2 linked regions of the Coturnix japonica genome follow. The protein of the gene in region 1 purifies or fractionates together with the protein of each later gene. This does not show direct contact. Links are inferred from orthologs where the notes say so. Each region holds a gene or a part of one and is shown on either strand. Other genes may lie near its edges. The genes, in order: S100B and IQGAP1.

What was found.
Region 2: the proteins of S100B (region 1) and IQGAP1 purify together in Homo sapiens (co-immunoprecipitation; 3 studies listed by BioGRID and IntAct, with this or other methods). This does not show direct contact. The link is inferred for Coturnix japonica from reciprocal best matches to the Homo sapiens genes S100B and IQGAP1.

The regions. Positions count from the first base shown.
Region 1 is NC_029522.1:2,450,427-2,454,828, forward strand, and holds the start of S100B (protein S100-B), read right to left. Parts: upstream 2,941-4,402; 5' UTR 2,516-2,940; intron 1,262-2,515; 5' UTR 1,247-1,261; coding exon 1,109-1,246; intron 876-1,108; coding exon 735-875; 3' UTR 1-734. UniProt on the Homo sapiens protein: Small zinc- and- and calcium-binding protein that is highly expressed in astrocytes and constitutes one of the most abundant soluble proteins in brain.
Region 2 is NC_029525.1:18,470,689-18,473,168, forward strand, and holds part of IQGAP1 (ras GTPase-activating-like protein IQGAP1), read left to right. Parts: intron 1-374; coding exon 375-497; intron 498-1,021; coding exon 1,022-1,130; intron 1,131-2,480. UniProt on the Homo sapiens protein: Plays a crucial role in regulating the dynamics and assembly of the actin cytoskeleton.

The sequences.
Region 1 (4,402 bases):
AGACCAACATTTTATTCTCATTGTTTCCACATACTCTGGAGCTGCAGCTGATAACATATGGATTTCACCCTTCCTTCAGGCTGAGCCTTGAGAGCTTGCCAATGTGCACCTCAGGCCCAGCCCAGGAGCCTCCTATGCTTTCATTTCCAGTTCTGCGGACAGCTATAAGCAGGAGGATTCATAGGCAGGAGAAAAGCCTGGGCTGTTACATGGTTATGCTTTGCCTTTCAAGCCAGGAGTTTCTCAAGTTGCCAAGGACTGCATGGGCTCTGCTCCAGGGTTAGTAGCATGCGTGGGGCAGTCAGAGCCCACAGAGATCACAGAGTCTTTCTGTGTAGGCCAATGGGCTCAGAGCCAGGCCTCTATAACCAGCCTCTCTGCATCACGCCCTGCCTCACCCCTTGAATTTTCCTTTTCCCTTTGCCAGCAACCTAAAGGATTGCAGCGGCCACCTGCTTCCAGCCCGCTGCCTGTCCCTTGCACACAGCAGCAGGGAGTGAGCCTGAGATGTGGCATTCGAACACATGCCATCCCAGGTGGGCGCTGTCTAAGAGGCTTTCCCAAGATGCATGGGCATTTCTGCTCACAAAGCTGCAGAGTTTAATAAGCTGCTTAAGTAGCGCAAGCTTAACTTCATGGAGCCCCCAGGTGCATCCAGTCTTCTCCCAAGAGGAGTGGTACCGCTCTGCATCTCTCCAGTGTGAGTGGGAGCTGCTCAGCTGCTTCTCACCAGCTCACTCGTGCTCAAAGAACTCATGGCAAGCAGAGGTAACCATGGCAATGAAGGCCACGAACTCCTGGAAGTCACACTCTGCATCCCCATCACTGTCCAGTGCCTCCATGACTTTGTCCACGGTCTCCTGGTCTTTGATCTCCTGAAAGGGCAGAAATGGATGTAGTAGCATCTGCTTAACAGCAGCCCTACCAGGGCACCTTGAGCCCCACAGGGTAAGGGTGATAAACAGGGTGATAAACCGTCCCAGGGAATGAAATCTCCCTAGTGTCCAGCCCAAGCCTCCAGCCCTGACACAGGCTTTGTCCTGCCACCACCTGCTCCTGGGGAGCTGGAGCCTGAGCCCAGCTGTGCTATGTAGAGGGCAATACTCACACCAAGGAAATGAGTTAATTCATTGTTAATGAGCTCCTTCAGCTCCGATTTCTTCAGCTTATGCTTGTCTCCTTCCTTCCCGGAGTACTGGTGGAAAGCATCAATGATGGCAATCATGGCCTTCTCCAGCTCAGACATGGTCACAGCACAGTCCTGAGATCAGAGGGAGGCGACGGGCACATCAGCAGGGTTAGGCTGCAGTGATGCATCAGAGCCCTGCTGCAACCCCCCACCCAACAGCAGCACAGGCAAGCTCTGCCAGTGGCTCTCACTTCAGAGAAGATCCCAGGATCTGTGGTTCTAAGGGGCCTTGGCTCTGAGTGCTCCAGGTGAGCTGCAACACAGGGAGTGGTGGCAGTGGGACAGGTGCATTCCCTGGAACCAACAGGAGTGTGCAGAGCGTGGGAGAGAAAACTGGAAGGAGATGGGTGGCAAAATCCTGGAGGCTTCTTGCGTTTCCCATATGTGCTGAGCTGGCTGTCAGCTGGGACAGGGTCATTTGCTAAGCTTGTGTTGCCAGTCCCCTTTGGGAAACCTGCATAGCAGAAATGGGCTGCGGGAAGCACAGAGCACTGGTCTGTGCCCAGGATGGGGCTCCAGCTCTGGCTCAGAGCTGCCTTGGATCTGCTGGACCTCCCCCAGGTCTCACCGTGGCTGGGCTGCATCTCAGTGCTGCTGCCTGGCGCTCCCCATGGGAAGGAAGCCCACTTTCAGATGGCTCAAACCACTATCAAAGTGCGGCAGGAACTGGACAGTGTCCTTGTGCCACATTCTCAGCTGATGGAGCACCCGTTTAATCACGCATATTGTCACCTCACCCAACTCTTTTATTCCTACTGGTCAACCCGTTGCTTTCCTTGGCAAGTTGGGGACAGGAGCAGGTAAGGGTGGGGGGATGCATTTCAGAAAGGCTTTGCTTTCCCTTTTATTTCAGGTGCCCACACCTCTGCCCTTCTTGCCTGCAGGCCCACTTCCAAATGAACAGTCGGGAGGGCATGAGGATTCGATTTTGATAGTTGCAAATAGAAAGAAACAAGGGCAACTCCTCTGCCTGCCTTCCTCGCACATCTGACCTGGTGCAGGACTACCAATAATTTCAGCTATTCCTGCAGATTCCACAGATATCCGTACAAAAATAACCCGACAGGGAGGGATGCAAATCCACCTTCCCAGAAGCTGCTCAATGCATTTACACTGGGCTTAAAAAACGCAACGGTTTGGTGTCCGGTCCTCGTTAAATACATACCGCAGGGGTAAATGTCTGCCATTGGTTAACTCAGCTCTGCACCGGCCTCTGCGGTGAGCAAAGATCTCAGCTCCGGAATGGCAGAGAACCATGGCGAACCAGCCAACCAGCCCGCCCGTCGGCTGCTCCCCCACCCCACCCAGAGCCCCATTCCTTCTCACCTCCCTTGGCGATGCTCAACGCTGCGGCTGCATCCCAGCGGCTGACCGCCTTCTTATGCCCGTGGGCGTGGAGCTTCACCCGTGCCGCAGCGCCCGGGACCAATGGCAAAGGGAGGCCGGGCCGTCCCGACAGCGGGCTGGGCTGTGCGCAGTGGCACACGGACGCGCATCGGCGCCCAGCCGACCCACGGCGGCCGTGGGGGCTGCTACAGGAGGCGGCCGTTGTGAATAGTGCGGGGAAGCAGACCCCGTGCACTGAGCAGCGCGGTGCCGGAGCGTGGCCGTGCCGCAGCTCTGCCCGCACGGAGCCGACGAGCAGCAGCGGAGCTGCGCGACGCTCCCACCCGCGGCCCGGGGGCTCCGCACGGCGCAGGGGCTGCGCGGCCGCTCCGTTCCGCGCCTACAACCGAGGCGACGGCGCCCGTGGCGGACCGTGCCCTCGCAGAGCCTCGCGGAGGGGCGGGCCGTGTGCCGGGAGCCCGAACCCCGTCGCTCCGTCCGTCTCCCCGCGCCCGGACGAGCGGCGGCGCTGCCCTGCGCTGCGCTCATCTGCTGCACGTGGGGCCGGCACGCGGCGCGGAGACCGTCCGCCAAACACAGCGAGCGCAGAGGCACCGAGCGGACTTTTATTGCGCACCTCAACCCGAGCCCGAGCTTCTGCTGCCGGCACAGCTGCCGCCGCGCGTGGCCGGAGGGAGAGCCCGGCGGCAGCGCGGCGATGGGGCGGCCGATGGACGCAGAAGGAGCCGGGCCGGGGGCGGCTGCCGCCAGAGCTCAGCGCCTAGTGGGGGTGGCCGTGGGGGTGGGGGCCCGGCGGGTGGTGCCCGGGCGGGTGATGGCCGGGAGGATGATGCTCGGGCGGGTGATGCTCGGGCGGATGATGGCCGGGAGGATGATGGCCGGGCGGGTGATGATGCCCGGGAGGGCCGTGCGGTGCAGGTGGGTGCCCAGGCCCGGGATGTGGCGGCGGCGGCCCTCCGTGTGGCCCTGCAGGAAGAGGGGAGCGTCAGGGCTGCGGGGCGGCCACGCGGCTCTGCTGCAGCTGCAGTGCCCCGGCCGCCGTGGGAGGCTCCTGGACCCGGGCGCGGCCGGGCTTGCGGGCAGCGGGAGGGGACGTGGGCACGGAGCGGCCTGGCAGCGCGGGCACCCCCAGGGCCGCCCGAGCCCTTCCCACGGGCGCTCACCTGGGTGTGGGGATGACATCTTCTCACGGCCCCGAGCTGCAACGGAAGGAAGCACCGCGCTGTCAGCGCTGCCTGCCGTGCGCGACCCTCGTGCCGGGCGTCCCCGTGGCCCCAGGGCTCCAGCCCACGTGTGGCCCCGCACGGACGGCACCGCCTGTCCCACACACGTCCCCGTGGCCACCCCGACCCTCCCGGGGGTCCCAGCTGCAGCCGCCCTCCCCTCTGCAGTCCCGGCACCACCCCGGCTCGTGGTTTCCCTCGCTGATGCAAAGAACCCGACCCCGGCCTCACGCAGCCCCTCGGGGCGGCGAGGAACAGCCGAGCCCCGTGCCGGGCCCACGGCCTCGGGGCCGCGTGGCTCCACCGAAGAGCCGGCCCTGCTGCCTCCCACCCCGCCGGCCGCTGCCGCTCAGCACCTGCACAACCGACCGCACGGACAGCACGGCGGGACCGGCGGCGTCCTCACGCGGCACACGGGCTGTCCGGGCCGGCCTCGGGCACCCCGTATTTATACGGGACCCTGACACCCGACGGGCACGGCTGCCTCATAAACACGCCGATGGCTTTACGGTGCCATCATCATGGGGATGCCCAGCAGACACACGGCGCACCCAGCACTGCGCACAAAGGTCTGCAGCCCTCGCCGGGCGCTGGCAATGGGTGGTGGCTCCTTCCACCAGCTCCTGATCCCGGCGGTCAGGGC
Region 2 (2,480 bases), on another chromosome or scaffold:
CTGCTTTTTTTTTTTTTAATTTTGTTACGTGTCTAAATTACTCTTATGGGTCTGTTTTCAGAGTACCAATAAAAACAGTTGGTTAACCATAAAAACTTTTGCCTAATTATATTAGTAGTAGTGCTTTTTAGGAAGTGCTGTTGTTTGGTTTTTCTGCTTCTGTTGTGTAAGTTATTGGTAAATAGTAGGGAGTCAAAGATCTGATCTGAGCTACCGGTGCTGTGTAGATAAACTTGGTAATAGAAATATATCGGTGTTGGTTGAGCTGTCTATTCTGGTTCTCGCCACTCCTTCACATAGTATGAATTGTTTACTATATTTTGTTTGCTCTCTGGTTTTTTTTGTTTTTTTTTTTTTTAATCCTTTCTTTTCAGAGTCTCTAAGAAGCCTCGAGAGATGAAAGGCAAAAATAGTAAAAAGATTTCTCTAAAATACACCGCAGCTCGACTTCATGAGAAGGGAGTGCTTTTAGAAATTGAGGACCTGCAAGTTAACCAGTAAGTTAAAATAGCTAAATTAGTTAAAAGCTAAATAGCTTTTCCAGAGAAAGAGGGAAATGTTGCATACTGTTTTGGACTATTTAGGCTGGCACAGCGCTGTGAAGCCTCACAAACTGATCATGTGCTGTTCTCCTATTTGTGGTTAAATGGGAGCAGATCTCTGGTAGATAAGTTTAATGGCATTTAAAGATGACACCCTCTTTCTCCCTGCACTCCTCCCACAACCCCTCTCATGGCAGGATTCCTCCTCAAGTGAATTGCTACTGAGATTACTAACTCTCAAGGCTAGCATAAGCTAGTTCAGCTGCATTTTGCTGGTGTAGAACATTAGGCTACGTTGTTGTGGACTATGTTTTGTTATTCATTTTTCTACTGAATCTCATTCCAAATGAGGATATAGGATTAGAATTTAGGAATAAAATTAGAAGTTTATCTTTAGCTTTCATCTGGTGTGTGCTTTCCCTGTGTCATTAGGAACTGCATGTTCATGAACTGTGTTTTTTAATTTATTAAATTCACAGATTTAAAAATGTAATATTTGAAATCAGTCCAACAGAAGAAGTAGGAGATTTTGAGGTGAAAGCAAAATTCATGGGGGTACAGATGGAAACCTTTATGTTACATTATCAGGTAAGAACAATCCTGTTTAATAAGGACAGCATCCATCATGTGAGTTTCATGGGATGTGTATGAACAACAAATCTCTCTTCTGCTTGCCAGACTCTTTATCAGAATACTAATTATGTGTTTTCTGCCTGAACAGTGTGAAAATGGGGGAGCATCTTTAAACTAAAAGAGAGCAGATTTAGGTTAAATATAAGGAGGAAAATCTTTTCCTAGGCCAGGCTGAACAGGGTCCTGGGCAGCTGGAGCTGGTGGGGGTGGGACTGCCAGGTGTTGGAGTCCCTTCCAACATCCGCCCATACTATGATTCTTTGAGAAGCTATCTTGACAGCAGCAGATTTGTTGCAAACAAAACAGATGCAGTGCCAAGGGGGGAACTGAGGCTAATTTGTTTCTTTACTGATGAAAGCCTTAAGTAAGTCTGTGTCTTAGTGACACTTACATAAGTATGCATACACATGCGTGTGCTTTCGGCAACACTTTGCTATAGCAGAGGTCAGTAGTCTGTGGTATATGTCAGCTGGGCTTGGGTGTGATGACTTCAGCTACTTGTCACTGGTTTTCTTTCTGCGACACTGCACCTAGTTGTTTCTTTAGCTGTCTAGTTCTTGTGACTCCTCAGCCTTTACTTACATGAGTCTATCGTAACAGGCTTACAGGCAGGTTTTATCTAATGGTCCCCATTCTTCTTCCAACACCACTACTGTTATATCTGGCATCTCTGTCCACATACGAGTGTCTGCCAAAACTTGCCTCCCAGGTATTGTTAGATGTGGTAATTGTGGATGTCCTATGGGTACTGGAACAAACTGCATACAGAAGCACTCTGCACAGAGATACTTCTGTGTTGCAGTCCCCGACTGACTACTGGGAGGGATAGCTGCCTTACACATCCCGTACATCTGCTCTGGGAACTCCTGTAGTTCATTCCAGTGCTGATGTGTTGGAGCTGGCCACAGACTTCTTGGTTCATCTGGCTATTTGAGGTTGCTTGGTTCTCAAGCATGTGTGGTAAAACCATTATTAACAAACTGCCACAGCTCATCCAAGTACAGTGTTAGCAATGAGTTCTGTTAAAAAGTCTTGCATTGCCAGAATTTTTATGGAAAACAGTAAAAAAAGCTTTTTGATGTTCGTTCTGGTGTCAGGAGCAAGATTCAGATTTTGGAATGCATGCAGTGTTCATCGCAGTAGTACTACCCGAGTGCTTTCTTTGAGATGCGCTGTTCTAGAGAGGAGATTGTGTAAATGAATTAATTGCTGAGATGAGCAGTGCAGGGAGTCTTATGGCTTTGTCAGGTGCATCATCACAGAATCACAGAATGACCCAGGTTGGAAGGGACCTCAAGGATCATG